Linked DNA regions of Xenopus tropicalis. The protein of the gene in region 1 purifies or fractionates together with the protein of each later gene. This does not show direct contact. Links are inferred from orthologs where the notes say so. Each region holds a gene or a part of one and is shown in the gene's direction. Other genes may lie near its edges.

Region 1 (10,988 bases):
CTTCACATGACATGATTTGGTCACCTAGAACCTGCTTATCAGGTGACCCCCATCTGCAAATATATAGGGTCAAGAATCAACCTGTAGCAGGATTAACCAACCCTTTAATAGTCACAATGAGAAATATTGTGTTAAAGTGGTTGTTCAACTTTTAGTATGAGGTAGGGGGTGCTATTCTGAGACAATTTGCAATTGGTCTTCATTTGGGATTTCAGCAGCTATCTGGCTCCTAGGGTCCAATTTAACCTGACAACCAGGCAGTGATTTGAAACAGAGCCAGGAATACTAATAGAGGAGGGCCTAAATAGAAAGATAAGTAATACAAAGTGAGAATAAATCTGTAGCCTTACAGAGCAATGGTTTTTTTGGCTGCTGGGGTCAGTGACCCCCATTTGATGAGTGGCATATGTAACACTTATATGGGAGGAACCATCTCCTGATACGCAAATGACTGTTGGAATGGCTCTTTTACTACTTTTACCACACTGGTGCTTGGAGATGACTGTGGCTGATTTAAGAATGAGAGTGAAATATTCTAAAGGGCACATTTACGACAGCATGAACGCTCCGAGCGTATTTTCGACAAATTTTTTTGGGCGTCCGCACAACTTTTTTGTATGCCGCACGACTTTTTCGCACACTTGCACAAAAAAATCGGAAAAAGGTTTTACCGCTGTTTTCAATGGTTCGGTCCGAAAATTTCTTGACTTTCGGATAGCCAATACGATATCATCGTGACTAATACGATTTTTTCGTAAGCATTTTCGGGATATTTGCGATCTTAGGAATTTTTCGTTTCCAATTCGAATTTTTCCCATTCGGGATTCGAATTTGTGGATTAGTAAATCTGCCCCTATGACTACAAATGAACTGAATCTAGGATGTGGTCCAGAATTTAGATCAGTGATCCCCAACCAGTGGGTCGGGGGCAACATCTTGCTCCCCAACCCCTTGGATGTTGCTCTCAGTGCCCCCAAACCAGGGAGTTATATTTGAATTCCTGACTTGGGGGCAAGTTTTGGTTGAATAAAAACAAGATTTCCTACCAAATAAAGCCCCCTGTAAGCTGATAGTGTGCATAGAGGCTGCCTAATAGCCAATCTTAGCCCTTATTTGGCTCCTCCATGAACTTTTATGGTGCTTGTGTTGCTCCCCAGGTTTTTTTACATTTGATTGTGGCTCACGAGTAAGAAAGGTTGGGGAGCCCTGATTTAGATGAATCTCAGCACAGCAAAATCCAGACCCCTGCCCTTCCTATGCCAAACTGCAGTCATGCGACTATAAAGCACTCAACTTTATATAATGCTGTTTTTTATATTATTATCCTCAAATTTAATATGCATAGTGCAGTCTGGATTCAGTTTGGTTTCCAGCTTGTCAGCGGAGGACTGAGAATTAAAAAGAAAATATAATATAAATAAACGAAATCTGACAAACTCGCATATACTACCTTGCACTTGGCACACTGACTGTATGATCAATACGTAGGATTTTAGCTCCCGGGTAACGCTAAATATAAAAGGGGTAACGCTAAATATAAAAGGGGTAACGCTAAATATAAAAGGGGTAACGCTAAATATAAAAGGGGTAACGCTAAATATAAAAGGGGTAACGCTAAATATAAAAGGGGTAACGCTAAATATAAAAGGGGTAATGCTAAATATAAAAGGGGTAACGCTAAATATAAAAGATGCAGGCAGTTTGTAAAGATCTGTAAGATAAATAATTACCCCTTGGCTACTGGAGAGGCACATGCACCAGGTTTGAGATGATATAAAGCCCCGCCAAGCTTTATGGCATCATAAGAAAACAAGTATTGCACAAGACGGCTCAGTGAATCATCCTTAGACTCTTCTTTCTCTTTCTAAATATATTGTTCCTTTGCAATTACACCCACAATAAGAGGATGTTTTGAGGAATGAAGCAATCAGCAGAAGTCACAGTCAGTTCTAATGTAAAATAAAGCCTTTATTGCTGTACATGCACATTGTCAGACATGTCACCTTTACAGATTTCACCTGGAGACTGTATGCGTATCTATGACGTAAGCATTCAGTGACATCAGAAGGAGCTGGCGCAGTGACATCACTTCCAGCAGTAGTCATGCAAAATGATGTCACTTCCAGACAATACGAGACACAGCAAAAACTGTACCCCCCCGGTCTGACTTCTCTGCATTATCACAATAACTCTTTGGACCATCCAGGCCTTTAATTTTTAATATGACAAAACATGACCACTAGGGTATGTGATGAAGAATTTTGTGGCATTCACCCCATAATGTGTGCCTGTTTACACCAATGCATTCATTCCATATTTTTAATTTTTTTTGCATTTGACTAAATACTGAATCCTCCACAGAAGATGTTTCTAAATTCCAAACTGAATCTGAACCCTAATTTGCATATTAAAAATTTGAGACAAATAAAAAATGGCATCATGGTTTGGAACAGTTCCCTAAGCCCCACCCCCTATCCCCTGCTGATCTGGCTGGCTACTTTGAGACTCAAATAAAATGTAACAGTAGCCGACTGTCTTCAGCCTGCCTTCAGCCTGCATCCTCCATATCCCACAATTCCCTGCACCTGTGATGTCAATAAGGAAAAGAACATCACAGTGCAATGCATTGTGGGTTAAGTAGTTCCTGCATGCTCTCTGTAAGCTCTGGAGAAGTTTTTACAATTTATAACATCAATGTTTTAGTCCCTCCTCCCCTGCCAGGATTTCAAATGATGCAGAAAGAGAAGAACTGTTTTGCAGCTGGATCTCAGCATATACAAACTGTTTAATATCTGCATAGTTCTATACCAGTGATCCCCAATCAGGGTTTGGAGCAACATGTTACTAACCCCTTTGATGTCGCTCCCAGTGGACTCAAAGTGGGCGGCCATTTTTACATTTCAGACAAAAAGTGTTACATTGTTTTCCCCCCTCTGCATCCAATGGGCTGTTATTTCCTTATTAGCAAAGCAATAAGCAAACATGGTTACTATACAGAATAATGACTAATCTGTACACTGGCCTGCTTTCTGTCATTGCACAATGCATTGTATACAGGGGGAATTTACAGATCAGTATTAACCAAAAATTCTTTAGAAAACAGGAAATCTGTATATCTCAATATTAGGAGTATTGTCTATGAAGATTTTCATTCATTCAGGTCATGGTATATCTAATATAAATAAATTTAAAGCAACTGGACTTGTTTGGTAATCATTCAATACGTTTCACTACTCATCCGAGCAGCTTCTTCAGTTCAACTTCAACTTCATATTAGGAGTATTCCCTCCCCTTTATTCTGGTTACCCTTATGTGTAATGCACTGTGCAGGGCTGTGATAAAAACCACTACAGCTACACATGGCTAAAAGACATATAAATATATACAGTTGCAGTTGCCATCTTTTTACAAGAAAGTTACCGGCCAGTGCGGGGTGGTGACAAAGGAGGCGGGTTGATGATGAAAAGCTATGATGTCACGGGTGATGCCAGGAGGATCAGGGAAGAGAAAAAGAGTAGGTTTCCACTAGATTCTGGGTGGATCAGGGGCTTTAGGGGGCAGGACAGGGGCTGAACTTAAGGATATTCCACATTTGCTGGCTTTTACATTGCAGGGGCGAGTGACTATTGGAGGCAGTAGTTCCATGTACCAGGCAACAGAGGAGCAAAATTTATAAGAGGAGGTGGCACAAATGATAGCAAGAATAACTACAATATAAAGTGGTGCAATTTCTGGTTACTGTCTGGAGTGAATAGGAATTTGGTTTTCAGGGCTTGAGCACAGAGGCAATTATAATGCCTTTTAAATCCCATGCTGGCTGTCTAAAAACACAAATATTGCATTTTCATACATGCAATCAAGTGCATTTTTGTGAGTTACTAAATGCAACCCTCTATTCTATTTTCTGTTGAATGCAAAAAATTTAGGGTTTTGTGCTTAAAAAAACTGAAATGAAACATGAATGCAATAAAAGTCAACTCAGGGTACAAACAGAATATAATGGAATCAATCATTAAATGCACAGTGTATAAGTGCCCTAAAAAAATCATTATCACCTTAAAGGGGTGGTTCACCTTTAGGCTGATGCCACACGAGGCGTTTTTACACTGCGTATTTTCAAATTTTCTCAGCGGCTGAAAAACGCCCGATATCATCATCCATAGAAATAACTTGAAAAGACTCGAACCAAACCACACAATGCGGAAATACGCTAGAAAAAGCCTTAGCACGGATTTTTCAAGCGTTGGCTGAAATATGCCAGTATTTGCACAGCAAGCTATTCCTATGTATACACAAAGGCAGCTGCCAGACCTAGCAGAAATACGCGGCATTTTTTACTATTTTGCACTATTAGCACCATGGAAACGGGATTTGCTACGTCACCAGTACTAGGCTGAAAAACGCCATAGTCAGGGGCTGTGTGGCTTGTGTGGCGTTTTGAGGCTGAGAAAAAACGCAGCGTAAAAACGCCACGTGTGGCATCAGCCTTAAGTATGTTATAGAATGCCCTAGCAATTTTGCAGTTGGTCTTCATTATTTATTTCTAATAGATTTTAAATAATTTGCCTTCCTTCTACACCTTTTCCAGTTTTCAAATGAGGATCACTGATCCCACAGTCAAAAAAACAATTGCCCTATGAGGCTACAATAGTATTGTTACTTTTTATTACTTATCTTCCTATTCATTCCCTTGCCTATTCACATTATTCAAACCACTGACTGGTGGCTATGGTTAATAAGACCCTAGCAACCAGATAGTGGACAGCTGCTGAAAAAAAAGCTAAATAACTGGAAAGCCTCACAAAAATAAAATGTAAAAATTAAGACCAACTGCAAATTATTTCAGAATATCAATCTCTATATCATATGTCAGGAGTGTTCTCTCACAGATGACACAGAGAGAAAACATGTAGTTGAGCTGACAGCTGGCAGTTGGAATCTTCAAATACTGTGAGATATTGTTAAAGTTCAGTGGAAATTCCAGCAGCAACCCATAACCCATACAGCAGCAGGAAGAAAGCAGCGCTAGTTGTGACTCCCAAACAGGTAGAAGCTGAGAAATGTTTGCTAAAAGCCTATTCAGGAGCCAGATGGGCAGGGAGTGGGTCATGTGACGAGAAGGAAACTCGAAACCTGAATATGTAATCAGGCAAGTTTTACTTCTCAAACGAAATGACTATGTGCCAACACACACTACTCAGGGGAAATCTGACAGAGACAGCGGGGATTTCACAGGCTGTGAGCGACTGGCACCACAAGGAGCTGGCAAGCAGGGACCCTGGCTCACCTGTGGAACATGGACACATTCAATAAGCTCTCAGCTCCAGCTGGGCACAAGTTCAGGTGAGGGGCTTTCTCTTGTTTACAGTGAAGGAGCAGAACTATCCCTGAGAGGGAAACACTGGCTTACACCCCAAATTTCTGATTTTACAAGTAACAAAAAAGTCACCTTGAAATATTCTCAGCTTCCTTGTGTACCTGGGGGTTGTTTATTCAAGCTCATTGCATATAAGGCAATGGTGTCCGACTCATGAATAACTGTTACTAAACCATAACTTCCAGCATGCTTGGGGGTGTACAGAAGCGCCGCAAGATATTGCAATGTGCCTCCATCTTGTTATTTCCTCCTCTCATTCTTTTACTTGGAAAAAATGTAACTGCATAATGCACAAATACTCATAAATAAGGATGTGAATGGAAATGTGAATGGGCTGAGCGGAAATCTGTGTAGTTTGAACCCACGGACATTCGATTTTAATGTATTTCATCACGGCAACCCAAGAATGCTAGATACTTGATCAGCAATTGATATCAGTTTGTATGGGCGCAAACATTCAGGCCAAAGTGAAATCAATTAAAACTTTCACTGGATAACAATTCACAATGTGGCAAAGGCAAACTAAACTGCTCATGGTTAATTATTAGTCAGGCTAACCCCAATCATCATCCCTTTAAATGGGGGATGCTTCTTGTACGGCAGCAATGACCTGAATGCATCATTTCAGCACTTAACATTAATAAGCTGATACAGGCAGCCTAACTTTTAAATAATTTTATTTTCAATATTTACTTTTAACTCAATGCATATTGCAAAATAAGTAGAGATGCACCAAACCCAACATTTTTTGGGTTTAGTTAAGTAACTAATTCGCCACACAAGATATTTCCACATCCTGAATCAAATCTGAACTCTTAACAGTATACAGGTATGAGACCTGTTATCCAGAATGCTCAGGACCTGGGGTTTTCCAGATAAGGGATCTTTCCGTAATTTGGATCTCCATAACTTAAATCTTCTAAAAATCATTTAAATATTGATTAAACCCAGGATTGTTTTGCCTCCAATAAGGATTAATTATATCTTAGTTTGGATCAAGTACAGGTACTGTTTTATTATTACAGAGAAAAGGGAATCATTTAACCATGAAATAAACCCAATAGGGCTGTTCTGCCCCCAATAAGGGGTAATTATATCTTAGTTGGGATCAAGTACAGGTACTGTTTTATTATTACAGAGAAAAGGGAATCATTTAACCATGAAATAAACCCAATAGGGCTGTTCTGCCCCCAATAAGGGGTAATTATATCTTAGTTGGGATCAAGTACAGGTACTGTTTTATTATTACAGAGAAAAAGGAATCATTTAACCATTAAATAAACCCAATAGGGCTGTTCTGCCCCCAATAAGGGGTAATTATATCTTAGTTGGGATCAAGTACAGGTACTGTTTTATTATTACAGAGAAAAGGGAATCATTTAACCATTAAATAAACCCAATAGGGCTGTTCTGCCCCAATAAGGGGTAATTATATCTTAGTTGGGATAAAGTACAGGTACTGTTTTATTATTACAGAGAAAAGGGGATCATTTAACCATTAAATAAACCCAATAGGGCTGTTCTGCCCCCAATAAGGGGTAATTATATCTTAGTTGGGATCAAGTACAAGGTACTGTTTTATTTTTACAGAGAAAAGGGAATCAGTTTATAAAATTAAAATTATTTGCTTATATTGGTGTCTATGGGAGATGGGCTTTCCCTAATTCGGAATTTTCTGGATAACTGGTTTCCGGATAAGGGATCCCATACCTGTACTCAGATTCTAAAAGTCATTGCATTAATGGTTGCAAAATGTTAAATTCAGTTTTTTAAAACCGTAAAGTTACATGAATTTAAGGGTTCAGTATTAGTACGAACCCTTAGTAGTAGAAACATCACAAACATGCGTGTCTGTTGCTCCATAGCACTGACTGTGTGTGTATAGCCAGTATATCCAGCATTATAAATGCATAATAAATAGACAACAGCCATGTGTCTGAACAAACAGATCTGTGAGGCTGCAGAGATTGCAGGGGGCAAGGGAAAAGAACTCCCTCTGCTGTTTCTTTACTAGTTGCACCTATTTAAAGGGCAAGTTAGTAAGCACTGAATTTCTTCTTTATAATGCTGTATTGGAATTAAAGGGTGTATTCCCATAGCCCATACTCTGGTTGTAGTTCAGCAACATCTGGGATGGTCACAGGTTTCATATCATTGCTTAGGATCTGCGGAATATGTTGGCGCTTTATAAATAAATGTTAATAATAATAATAATAATAATGGATGTAGGTCTTGTCTACAAAAATTAATTTCAGAAATCAACAAATACTTCACAAATTTGTTTGAGCAGATTCCCCTTCTGAACAGATCAGAAACTCCATTAGCCCTAAGCACCATCCTCTGCTTGTATCTGTGCAAAATAGGTAAATATTCCTATTTGCGTTTCTCCTGTGGTGCATTGGCATGTGATGTACTGCAGGGCACTGATTGGAAACCCATTCTAGTCATTTTATCACTTGATCTGATAACCTTAAAGGAACAGTAACACCAAAAAAAGTGTATAAAAGAAATTCCAGTATAATGTACTGTTGCCCTGCACTGGTGCAACTGGAGTGTTTGCCTCAGAAACACTACTATAATTTATATAAAGAATGCCGCTGTGTAGCCATGGGGGCAGCCATTCAAAGGAGAAAAGGCACAGGCACTTAGCAGATAACAGATAAAACACTATTGTATTCTACAGAGCTTATCTGTTATCTGCTATGTAACCTGTGCCTTTTCTCCTTTTTTCCAGCTTGAATGGCTGCCCCCATGGCTACACAGCAGCTTATTTATATAAATTATAGTATGTATGTATGTATGTATGTATATCTTTATTTATAAAGCGCTACTTATGTACGCAGCGCTGTACAGTAGAATACATTAATACAAACAGGGGGTTAAAGATAATGGATAAATACAAAGTACAACAATAAATACAAATAAATACAAGGTACAGTTGCAATAAGAGTCAGAAACAAGATGAACAAGGTCCCTGCCCCGTAGAGCTTACAATCTATATGGGAGGGGTAACTAACAGACACAAATGGGCAAATGTAAGTGCTGTAGGTCACAGTGGGTGACACTACAATATAAGTGCCATAATAATATAAGTAGTGTTACTGTAGCAAACACACAACTTTTACCAGTGCAGGGCAACAGTACATTATATTTCTTTTACTTTAAAACTCTTTAATTTTTTGGTGTTACTGTTCCTTTAACCCTCAGGGCCCCAAAAACATTTTTTCTAAACTTTCTTAAGCCCCAATCTGAACTATTTACCTACCTCCCTCTACCATCCTTTTTCTCTTAATAAGAGTGAGCAGCATGCTGGGAAATTGGGATATGCTCTGCAATGTTTTCAGCACCCACTTCACCTTTTTAATAGGTAGAACCAGTTAACCTACTTCCCATAAGCCATACAGGTTTGCCTCTCTATATTCCCCAACCTCACTGCCCTCACCGTGAAAAACCTGCTTCAAATGGAAGCTCCGTTCCTCTAATCTAAAGGGGGGGCCTCTGGTGTGCTGATCGTTTTTATGGGAAAAATAAAATCCCCCATCTGCCTATAATCCCCTCTAATGTAATGTTAAAGACTGTTATAGCAAACTTCTGATTGGCTGGCTGCTCAGGGTTACTGCACAGGAGTAATATTTACATCAATTTTGTGAATTGTGCTCAATATTCCATGCTGCATTGTAACTCTGAAATGCCAGTATATATATATAATAGGTTTGTGTGTGTTTTTTAAAAGGTTCCTTGATAATATCGCAAATTTTACAATAAGGAAAGGTTTTTATGAACTCATTTTGTGGGGTTAACTTGTTGTAATGTTAGCACTACACACATCACAAGATAAACCACCTGAAATCTACAAGCGCTGCAAATGTGTATTTATGAAAAGTTTAGAAAATCATGACAGCTTTTCTGTATGGATTAAATGATTTGAATGATTACATCCCACATAGAGTTTAACATTTACAATCAGGTTGGATGTATGCACTGTTTGGGCACAGACGGGTGGCCAAATTCCTAAATCTCATTATCCATCTGTAGGGTAAGGAGTATTTAGTGATGGATTATAATAGATTCCGGTGGCTGCCCCAGGACCGTGATCTTGGGGGATGGGGGGTGCAATACAGTCACCTCCCCAGTTTCATATATAAAAAAAATATACAGGTATTGGACCCCTTATCCAGAAAGTTCAGAATTACAGAAAGGCCATCTCCCATAGACTCCATTGTAATCAAATAATTCACATTTTTAAAAATGGTTTCCTTTTTCTTTGTAATAATAAAACAGTACCTTGTACAGTGGCTTGCAAAAGTATTCGGCCCCCTTGAACGTTTCCACATTTTGTCACATTACAGCCACAAACATGAATCAATTTTATTGGAATTCCACGTGAAAGACCAATACAAAGTGGTGTACACGTGAGAAGTGGAACGAAAATCATACATGATTCCAAACATTTTTTACAAATAACTGCAAAGTGGGGTGTGCGTAATTATTCAGCCCCCTGAGTCAATACTTTGTAGAACCACCTTTTGCTGCAATTACAGCTGCCAGGCTTTTAGGGTATGTCTCTACCAGCTTTGCACATCTACAGACTGAAATCCTTGCCCATTCTTCTTTGCAAAACAACTCCAGCTCAGTCAGATTAGATGGACAGCGTTTGGGAACAGCAGTTTTCAGATCTTGCCACAGATTCTCCATTGGATTTAGATCTGGACTGTGACTGGGCCATTCTAACACATGGATATGTTTTGTTTTAAACCATTCCATTGTTGCCCTGGCTTTATGTTTAGGGTCGTTGTCCTGCTGGAAGGTGAACCTCCGCCCCAGTCTCAAGTCTTTTGCAGACTCCAAGAGGTTTTCTCCCAAGATTGCCCTGTATTTGGCTCCATCCATCTTCCCATCAACTCTGAGCAGCTTCCCTGTCCCTGCTGAAGAGAAGCCCCCCCCCCCAGAGCATGATGCTGCCACCACCATATGTGACAGTGGGGATGGTGTGTTCAGAGTGATGTGCAGTGTTAGTTTTCCGCCACACATAGCGTTTTGCATTTTGGCCAAAAAGTTCCATTTTGGTCTCATCTGACCAGAGCACCTTCTTCCACATGTTTGCTGTGTCCCCCACATGGCTTGTGGCAAACTGCAAACGGGACTTCTTATGGTTTTCTGTTAACAATGGCTTTCTTCTTGCCACTCTTCCATAAAGGCCAACTTTGTGCAGTGCACGACTAATAGTTGTCCTATGGACAGATTCCCCCACCTGAGCTGTAGATCTCTGCAGCTCCCCCAGAGTCACCATGGGCCTCTTGGCTGCATTTCTGATCAGTGCTCTCCTTGTTCGGCCTGTGAGTTTAGGTGGACGGCCTTGTCTCGGTAGGTTTACAGTTGTGCCATACTCCTTCCATTTCTGAATGATCGCTTGAACAGTGCTCCATGGAATGTTCAAGGCTTTGGAAATCTTTTTGTAGCCTAAACCTGCTTTAAATTTCTCAATAACTTTATCCCTGACCTGTCTGGTGTGTTCTTTGGACTTCATGGTGTTGTTGCTCCCAATATTCTCTTAGACAACCTCTGAGGCCGTCACAGAGCAGCTGTATTTGTACTGACATTAGATTACACA
Region 2 (10,888 bases), on another chromosome or scaffold:
AAACAATATTTAGGTGGCTAGGAGACAATCCACGGCTAACAATTTAGCACAATATACACCTCTTATCACATGCATGCATGATTAGTTACTACAGTTGCTGGTTTAGTCTATGTATTCACCATATCCATCATGTTTGCATTTAGCCAGATATAGAATACTCTGCAAAAGATGAGAACATTTGCATATCCTATTTTGAGAGAAATAGAAACATTGCACTGAATTTGAACAAAACATTGTCAGCTCAGTTGTCCAGAGCTGGGGGTCTGATATGGTTTCACTAAACCCTTCGGCTTCAGCTGACTCTGAATTCTGCAAAAAAACACAAACAATCAGCCAAATCCAGATTCTGTGCATCCCCAGTTCAGTCACTCTGTAACTACACCAGGCCGCTATACTGCAGGCTACTTACTTCACTTATTTCTGGCCTGCCGCACCTGTCTGCTTTAGAGAGGTAATGGCCCTTAGCTATCCATTTCTTAAGAATATTTGCCATCCATGTCTATGCCCATATTATTTCCCACAGCTAGAAGGCTGGTTGTGTCATGCCTAATTCTGGAGGAGAAAGCTAAAGCTGCCACTGCATCAAGTAACAACATAATGCCGATGGGGAGGGTGAATTAGTGTGTAGCACAGATGAAATATGCTTTTATAAACCATCAGACAAAATGTTACAGTTGGTAGAACCTGTTTAAATATAGTAAATAGCATATCAGATCATATTTGGGTACCCATACAATATAAAAGCAAGCCTGTTTGTGCCAGCCTTGTGAAGGGTTACTATTAAAATAGATTTACACTTTACAAATACTTCTTTATTTGACATGTTTGTCATGCGTTTTAGGAAGTTGTTTTATTAGTCTTACCTGGAGCGCCTTCTAGTGGACATCTTTAGATATAAAGTTTAGTTTTATATGATTTTTTATCTAATTTTTCTCACTAACGCTTTTCTCACCTATTACTAATATTATGTACCTTATGTAATTTTTCTAACAAGCCTCTCTCTAGCATTTGGTTGCTGGGATTACAAAATTGCCTAACCAAGGTGTGAATTAAAAAATAAATTTGTTTGGCATTTAATATAAGAACAACTCTTTATTAAGCTTTATGTGTCCTTTAAGCACAGTAGTTTACTGTATAATTTAAACTTCTACATAATTCAGTAACAATTGCTTTCCCCTGTTTGTATTGCAGCTGGTTGAACATTATTCCTACAAACCTGATGGACTTCTGCGGGTTCTTACAGAACCATGCCCCCGAGCAACTGGACACAGTGGTTAGCACTTTCTAATATACTCTGTATTCTAGGAGCACTTTTGATAAATAGATAGATAGATATAATATTATTATTATAGATGCATTCCTCTTATCTCCTATATATTTTTAATAATTCAATTAGGATTGTTATTTGAATGCTATTTGAATACTCTATTGATTTAAGTAATAAGTGCTTCTTTTTCCCTTCTTATAAGTTATTTCTTGTCTTTTTCTGCATTATCAGGGGTCTGGTAAGAAGTTTTACTAGAAATGTGTTTTCTTTTATGTGTCATTGTGCATAGATCCCCCAAACCCCATAAATAAATTACCAGCAATTTATTAATCCCACACCTCTAGCGCTTTATAATATACTCTGTTTTTATAAGCAGAAATATTTTGGGTAGATAGACAGACAGACAGATACATAGATGAATGCATTCCTCTTACCTACTAGATATTTTAATTGATTACATTACCATGGTTATTGGTCTTTATCAATGCTATTTGAATACTCCATTGATTTAAATATTAAGTACAGGTAAGGGATCCGTTGTCCAGAATGCTCGGGACCTGGGGTATTCCGGATAGGGGTCCGTCCGTAATTCACATCTCCTACCTTAAGTCTACTAAAAAAAATTATTTAAATGGGAATTAGATCCAATAGGATTGTTTTGGTTCCAATAAGGATTAATTATATCTTAGTTGGGATCAAGTACAAGGTTATTATAACAGAGAAAAAGGAAACCATTTTTAAAAATGTGAATTATTTCATAAAAATGGAGTCTATGGGAGATGGCCTTTCCGTAATTCGGAACTTTCTGGATAATGGGTTTCTGGATAAGGGGTCCGATACCTGTACTTCTATTTCATGTCTTAAATGTATTTCATGTCTTTTTCTGCGTTGTCAGTGGTCTGGTAAGTAGTTTCATTAGAAGCATATATTTATGTGTCATTGTACATAGATAGAGGCAAATTCTTTTATTACAAAACTACATTTTCATATATTTGTAGCTTTTATAAGGCAATGTGAATAATGACTCAATTTTGGATAAAACAGGGGGTGATGTTAAAACCTCTGGCCTACAGAATTCAGTAATGTTCTCCAACAGCTCTATACTAATGGAGTACAAGGATTCTATGTATAGCACCTTAAGCCTGACACTCATGATCTGATTTTACATAGCTATGCACATGTTTCTATCTCTCTGGTCTTTTTATAACGCCTAATTAAGAATGATCAAAGCAGCAAGAAAAATGAGCAGGACAAATTGTCACAGACTTCTCAAAATGAACTGTATTTTCGTAGATGAAGCCAAAAGGTTTGTCAGCTTTAACTCCTACTACAAATCTGGCTCTAGGAAAAACAGATTTTGCTGATTATGATCTTGAAAAGATGTCCATGTATCTCTATAAAGCAGTATTGTCCGGCTAGTGAATGTCAGATTGTCCCTAAATTACAACTCCCAGCGTTACCAGGAGATAAAGATTACAGTTGGAGAGCCCTGCACAAGGCATTCCTGCTATTATGTTGCTGTTCAGCAGCTCTCCACTTTGGAATCTGGACTTTTCTCTGACATTAGCAAACAGAAATATTCAGGCATAGTGGAGCCACTTATATCTGCAATATGGTATATATGGATTTTATATGATGACATTTAGTAGCAAACTCTATTTTCTTCTTGAGATCAAATATGATTTGCTGCCTCTAATTCTATAGATGTTTAGAAATGAGGGCATGAGATGGTGGGGATCACAACCCAGTGCAATCAACCTTTCACCACAGAATACAATGAAATTAGAATTACACATATTTTACATCATTATGTTAAAGCTATTGGAGCAGCATAGGCATTTTGCAATAATCATATAACAAATAACCAAATTTAAAAAAAAATGCTTATATATCCTTTTTCCCCAATTTGAGCACAGGTTTGTAACACAGTCTATTTGTTCATTTTTTTTTTTTTTTGCTTTAACTATGTAGAATAGTCCATGAAATCTAATTAAATGTCTTCATTCTGTTATAGAAAGCTTTATATTTAAACGTGCACCATGTCCAGCACCTCCTACCCAACATCAAATGGTAAGTAATGCATGCATAACATCAATTTGTTCATTACAACATCACAAAGGCCATTCTCTGCTGGTAAGTGCCATCCAAGTACTATAGACTTGTGTATTGCAACTACTAGAATGCTAAAAGTTTCATTATACGAAGCAAATTAGTCAAACCTATGTTTCCTTCATTAGCAGTAAGAAGGCAGATGCTATTTTGAGAAAGATGCCATCAAGGCAAACTTTGCTTTAACCATAAATCTAATGTAGGTGCCAGAAAGTAATCCAAATGCCCAATCACAGGCTATGTCAGATTATAATGGGGGTGGTGGGATGGTGAGGAGCATTCAACATAATTTCAATATAAAGGGCTTATGCCAATAATGCTTGCCACCTATTTAACCAAATAATTTATAGCTTTATAATTTAAAGGGGGGGGGGGTGTGAGGAGCATTCAACATAAAGGGCTTATGCCAATAATTCATGCCACCTAGTTAATGAAATAATTTATAGTTTTTTTCAGTACAGGTGAAGATAATCATTACATATAAAAAAAAATTGTCTAAGGATCACATTTTCAATACAAGCCCTGTGTATCTGATCCACATGGGTGTTTATTTCCATTAATTTTAAAGAATCCACACTGTAAGGTATAGACTGGGTGCTTGTGGTCTGTTGGGTTAACAAATGGAAAAGACAGGGTTGAAAGGAAGAGCATTACCAAGCAGCTTAATGCTGTGTGACTTTGTATTCAGTGGAACCTTGGATAATACATGTACAGTACCTGAAAGCTGGACAGAGAGACAGTAAATGCACTTGAATAAAAATACTATACTCTTTGAAAGTAATAGAGAATGTATGTTTTGAAAGTTTAGATAAAAAGTAAACATCTTATGCAAAGCCATATAATGCATGAAAATTGTTGGCAGTGACCCTAACTTCAGTTTTGTTATTACTGCCCCCCAGAGAGAATTTTCATTTTCAAATTGTAAAAAAAAAATGTTTTTTTTCTGGCAGCATGTTTAATGTTCCTCTCTGCCATTGTGGTTTCTAGAGTTGGTCAGCAGGTGGAATTATCTCGAGATTCAAATCCTACTCCTTCCCCAAGCCTGGCAACAAAAAGGTGCTCTGTACACACTATCTAAGGCTTTCCAAAATATAGACAGGCGCTAAATTAATGACTCAGCTTATTTACATTAAAGCAGCATTGCGGATTTCTGCATTATTTAGTTCTGCCAAGGCTGTCTTTAGTGGTGGGGGCCCAGGGCAGAGCAGTTTTTGTGGGAGCGTTATAAGACGTAGGACTATATCTGTGTAACTTAAATCCCCGGATCCATTGCTGAAATACTTTTCCCAGAATCACTTGACTGATGTCAGTGGGTCCTTGCTTTTGTATTTCAGAACAAATGAAGTCTAAATAACACTGATAAGTGTTACTGTCACCATGTTGCTTTACTATATCTGCTGTCCTACAGTCTCACTGTTTCTTCCCAGAATGTATTGTTCCTACTATTACATTCAGTGTTGCACTACCTTCTCTTCTATAAATTATACCGTGGTGTATTTCCTACCTAAAACCACTGCTTATGAGGCCCTACTATGTATGAGGCCCAGGGCAATTGCCCCTGCCCCACCTCACTAAAGACAGTAATGCAGTAGTTTTGTAGTTGTTGGTTAAGTTCAGATTTTTACATTCTTAAAATTAAAAATTAAAATAACAATTATCCTCTGAAGGGAAATGCTGTCATCTTCACAGTAAAAACTGCAGTTCTCAAAATGCCAAGAACTGTTGGCAGTCACTTCCCAATATGGAACTGTCTATGGGGGACAATAGATAGAGGGAACAAGTCCATCCGCCAGTATGAATCATGCCCATGCTTATTATAGCTTGTGCCTTAGGCAGTCTAACTGCCATACACTATAGATGTCTGCAGCCAACAGCTGTTCTAGGCATTGTATGCACCAATGCTTTCTCTGAGAAGCTTGTAAACATGATGCCATCGCTGTCCTGAGTTCCATTATGTTTAATATGGTTGTTAAGGGAACCCAAACAAATCTGAAGTCACTGTTTCCCCTAATCATTGGTTTTGGGTGGGGACTTCCAGAGAAAATATGAAATAATTATATTATGCCATTTTAACTGCAGCCTACACATAATTCAGTTGCAGAAATTATATATTTCTCCCTTCACATTCATTTAGCCACTTCTTCATCCGCTTGAAAACTGCTACAAACATCTTGTTTGTTTATTTATGAGCCAGCAGTGCTGCTTTAATATTACTAACTGTGTGGTAAGCTGCTAAAATTACATTAACCATTGATGTCGGTTTCTGCCCTCCACCTGCTATAGACTCAACTACCAGCTGACCTACTGAAGATGCTGGGATTTGTTGTTAATGACATTTGAAGGGCACGCATTTGACATCTCTGCTCTTAACACTCTGCTTTTGGCCCCTAGTGTGGTTTGAAAATAACACAAAACAAGTTGACATCAAAAAATTTGGAAAAAAGGGAAATCATGTATATTATCACAAATGTATCATGTGTCATAAAATATGTGCAGTATATTGATGTGGTGTCAGTGATTGCGGTCAGTGACAGAGATGTTACCACATAATTGACACCACAGAATCATAATATATAAGGAAGATTTTAATTGTTGGGAGGGCTCTTTAGTCTATAAATTCCAGAAATAAGAATGATATGTATAATATTTTTTTTCTGGTATTTGTCTGGCTTAACAAAAGCTCCATGTGTGCTAAAAAAAGAATGAAGTGGGCTTTTCCCAGATTAACTAACAGATAGAATCCAGGTTCTTATTAAAGAGATTTTCATTTGTGGTGAGCTTTGGAACCAGAATGGCCTTCTACTCAACCACCTAATTGGCCTCTATGTTAGTACCATGGCCATTTCTGCATGAGAGAGAATAGAATAGATTGAAGAGAGGAATGATAAAGTAGTAGACAACACCCTAAGGGAAAGAAGAAAATAGGAGAAAAATATCAGATGGGTTTAGAACGGGGAATAAGGGACCAAGGGGTGAAGGGAGAGATAAATTAAGGGCAGAAATCATAGAATGTATTGACAAGACAGTGTGGTACAAAAGTAAGTGAAGAGCAGCAGAAAAACCTATTGGAATGTGGTCTCTTGTCCTAAGGTTTCTAATTTGCTGGTGCCCAGGTTGGCCAGTTGGACACTGGCTCCTTTTTATTTACAGTTTTTTTTTCTTTTGCGAGTGTCAAATTCCCTGCAAGGGAAACAATGGGTAATATTTACTAAGATGCAAAAATACAGCTTGTCTATCTTCAACAAAGTTTTTTTCTGCAACACTGCAAATGTAATGTGCAGAACTATCAGGGGCAAAAATACGTTGTGTAATTATGCCAATGTATTTATAATATAACTAGGCAAGTTTTAGTAAATATGTCCCAATGTGTGGACCAAGTGACTGGTTAGTTATATAGTATTTATAGTAAAATAGTTTATGAACCAAATGTGCACTAAGGCTTATTTGAAAATGAAAACAATGCAAGTGCCCTTAACTAATCGGCAACTATAGCAACCAGTCAGCTTTGGTCTGTTTAGTGCAGTTACAATTATGAATGCAAAAGTCTGATTGTTACTGGTTACTGCAGCAGTGTACATTTGCACCAGTGTTAGAGAATGACCCTTACTATCAATGTGCCATAATGAACTGTAAAGAAAAAAAATAAAATGTATTTTGTCAAATTTGTATGTAAAGAATCGTAATTTGAAGTTGTAAGTACAACAAAAATGAGCATAGGTGTCATGGCAAGTTAAACAAGATCATTTGGAACATGCTATTATATACACACTACTGACATTTTTTTCTATAAAGACAGCTTGATTTTCATCTTGCCATGATAATTTAATTTATACTTAACTTTTTAAAAACACTATGGTCATATTTAACACAGATCTATTTTCTTTACATATTTAGATGACACTGAGTACTGCAGGGGCTCCCAGGCGGCACGGAAGTTCTACATCAATAAATACTTATGTACATAGGCCAAATGCAGGTAAGTTTCATTTAACACATTTACAACAAAATGTCAGATTTGAAGCTGCACCAGGCATATTCTAAAGAATAGTGATGAGCAAAGTGTTTTCGATGTGTGTCATTTTTTTGTCACACAGCAAACTTTTTCTGTTGCAAATTATTGCGCCTGTTTCATGAAAAAATCCGCCAATGGTGAAGCGGGCACAAAAAATTTCTTGACACACGTAGCTTTTTTTGTTGCACAGCAAATTTTTACGTCCGTTTCACCACTGGCGGATTCTTTCATGAAACGGGCGCAAAAATTTGCTGTGCAACAAAAAAAAGCCGCGTGTGTCAAAAAATAAAGACACATCAAAAAAAAACCTTTTGTACATTTTTCAGCAAAATGGCACAGATTCGCTCATCACTAGTAAAGAAACCTAAATATCAGAATGGGCACCTCCCTGTAAGTGACTTTTAGCTGAAAAAAATTTTCATATTGTATCCATTTGTTTTGTATTTGACATGTATAAATACATGTCATATCTATTATGGTAATACAAAATTATACAACATTCACATAAAATATGGATGAATATAGCCCATTTGTGGGGGGCACGTATTACAGTATTGCAAAAGTGTTACATACAGTATACACTCTGTTATCAGATCTTGATAGGTGGCATTGGTTCTTAAAAACATAATTATCTGCTTTAATTGCTGAAACTTCACGCACTCTAGTTTTTTCTTTTGGTTTCCTTTGTTGTGTACATAGAGAAAATTAAATGTAAGGGCATTTGCATTTAGCAGTTTTTTGTTATAAGGCATTGCTGTCCAACTAGTGGTCTGCGGGCCACATCTGGCCCTTGACCCCCCACTTGTGTGCCTGTTTAAGCTTTAAATTGTATCAACACTGAGATTAACTGGCATTGTTCACATCTCAGATTCAGGCTGTAATCAACTGCATTGTTCACATCTGTAAGGTCCTGCATTGTTCAGACCTGTAAGACTGCAAACTGTAGGCACCTGCATTGATCACCTGTTTACACCTCCTGTAGGAGCAGTGCCGACAACTGTTTATCTTGGATTGTTCATGATCAATTACTTATGTAATCATGCTAGGTTTATCTGTCTCCTTCCCTACACTGCCTGTTCTGCTGTACTCTGCCTGCCCTATGCTGCCTGTGTGTGCCATACTCTGTCTGCCCTATGCTGCCTGTATGTGCCATACTCTGCCTGCCCTGCCCTGTGCTGCCTGTGTGTGCCATTCTCTGCCTGCCCTATGCTGTTTGTGTGCGCCATACTCTGCGTGCCCTATGCTGCCTGTGCGTCATACTCTGCCTGCCCTATGCTGCCTGTTTGTGCCATACTCTGCCTGCCCTACTCTGTCTGTTTGTGCCATACTCTGCCTGCCCTACCCTGTCTGTGCGTGCCATACTCTGCTTGCCCTATGCTGCCTGTGTGCCATACTCTGCCTGCCCTATGCTGCCTGTTGGTGGTGAACCTGGCAGGGGTTTTTTCTGGGAGTTTGTTTGCCTTTGTAAATAGTTGTTAGGGGAACCCTAAGGTATGTAATTATGTGCTGGGGGGTTGCTGTGCTACCGACAGGGGAGGAGGAGACATATGAACTTAAGGGTATGTCCTAATATGACATAATAAACTTATTTTACATATGAGTGATGGATGCACTACCACCATTAATGTGAGTATGGTCTTAAAAACTTTAGTGGTAACATGGCTGTGGTTTAAAGTGGGTGTGGTCAAAACTGGCCTCCATTTTTCACCCTCTGCTGTGTAGGCCAGAAAAATTCTGTCCCTCGGTACCACAGATGTTAGACAGCACTGTTACAAGACATACATTCAAAGGGGTGTGGTCTTAAGTACTTTTTAAATGTATCCATGTTAGTTTTAAAACAATTTGTTAACAGTTTAGTTGGTCTGTGCTTAAGTTTTCAATTTTGGATTTACTAGGTGACCTGACTGCCTGATTTCATTTAAATTTTAATTCTTAGGAAGTCAAGAATTTCTGGTCTTGCTATCTCTTTGCCTGTATTAGTCTCAGGGAACTTCTCACAACTGATAACCTCATAGGGTGAAGTGAATTGACAAGATATATTCAGTGTCGGACTGGCCCACCAGGATACCAGGAAAACTCCCAGTGGGCCCAGGTGTCAGTGGGCCCTCTTGCTCCTGACCATTTGGCTTGTTTCATGGTCATTCCCTATTTCTGAACAGGAAGAAAGAGGGGAAATAGATGGAAGAATAGATGCTAGTATGTAAATAAAAGGGACTGGGAGAATAAAGAGGTTGGGTGAGGAAAGGAGGAAAAACTGTTTGGAAAGTGGTCCTAGGGTCTAAGGTTTTCTGGTGGGCCCCTGGGTTCCCAGTCCGACACTGGATATATTCACTTTATATAATTTAGCTTCCTTTAATTGAATTGCTTTGATCACCTCAGAAGTCACAATGGATTCTATGCCTATGGACACTGATGTCTATCGAGGAATATATGAAGACCCAGATGAGTTCAGACCCATGGATGGCAAAATATCTCGGGAACAGCTTACTTTGTTTGAAACTGAGCTAGGCTCTGGCAACTTTGGAAATGTTAAGAAAGGAGAGTTAAAGACATCAAAGTAAGGCATCCATTTGTTTTGTGTGTTTGTGTGTGGGAAAAGATCATCTATTTTTTGACTAACTATATTATTGCATTAATGATGCAGACAGCAGATAATGAATGCTCTCTCATTGCAAAGTACCAAAAAATACACTCTGTAGAGCTCTGATTTGTTGCTTACTAATAGTCTGCATTCCCAGAATTCCAAATCTAGTTTCTCTGCAGTATCTCAGAAGTAAGTGACAGCAATACTCAGTAGATGTTACTGACATAAACAAAACTAAAAACCTTGCAATGTTGAATATTATAGTGCAATATGTTTGGGCATTTTGCCAGTGTTAGTGGTTCATGTAACATTTACTTTTGCTAATGATTTGTATCACAAACACACAAATGCTTATCCTTTGTACAGATCTAAAAAACCAGTAGCTGTCAAAATTCTCAAAAATGACAGCAATGATGAGTCAATGAAGGATGAGCTGCTCAAAGAAGCCAAAGTCATGCAGCTGCTTAATAACCCTTACATTGTGAGGATGCTTGGAATCTGTGAAGGGGAATCGTGGATGCTTGTCATGGAGCTGGCAGGACTCGGGCCTCTAAATAAGTTCTTGGTTAAAAACAAGTAAGCAAGCGAGCAGGGTTTGGTTTCCTGGGGCCATTCCATATTAGTATATCATCCACTGGGACTTATCTTTGCTGGTGTTTGAGCTGAACAAAAGAACTGAACAAAAGAAAAATGGACAAATGTACCCATACTGTAAAATATTAGGATATTAGAAGCAACTGTGGAGTGCCTTTTTTTTCCTAAAAACTATAGTAGTGGTTTGACAATGACAGCTCTGAAGGACAGCCTTATTAATCTGGATCTCTGAAATGCTGGAATGCTGGTTTAGCACAAAAACATGTACTTTAGATTTTAGCAGAGTTTAGGGAATACACAAGGTGACTAGCGGTAGTAGGTG

What was found.
Region 2: the proteins of blnk (region 1) and syk purify together in Homo sapiens (affinity purification with western blotting; 3 studies listed by BioGRID and IntAct, with this or other methods). This does not show direct contact. The link is inferred for Xenopus tropicalis from reciprocal best matches to the Homo sapiens genes BLNK and SYK.

What each region holds. Positions count from the first base shown.
Region 1 is NC_030683.2:26,109,932-26,120,919, reverse strand, and holds the start of blnk (B-cell linker protein), read left to right. Parts: upstream 1-5,202; 5' UTR 5,203-5,296; coding exon 5,297-5,343; intron 5,344-10,988. UniProt on the Homo sapiens protein: Functions as a central linker protein, downstream of the B-cell receptor (BCR), bridging the SYK kinase to a multitude of signaling pathways and regulating biological outcomes of B-cell function and development.
Region 2 is NC_030677.2:138,462,178-138,473,065, forward strand, and holds part of syk (tyrosine-protein kinase SYK), read left to right. Parts: intron 1-1,191; coding exon 1,192-1,273; intron 1,274-3,281; coding exon 3,282-3,337; intron 3,338-4,363; coding exon 4,364-4,432; intron 4,433-7,270; coding exon 7,271-7,352; intron 7,353-9,767; coding exon 9,768-9,945; intron 9,946-10,338; coding exon 10,339-10,548; intron 10,549-10,888. UniProt on the Homo sapiens protein: Non-receptor tyrosine kinase which mediates signal transduction downstream of a variety of transmembrane receptors including classical immunoreceptors like the B-cell receptor (BCR).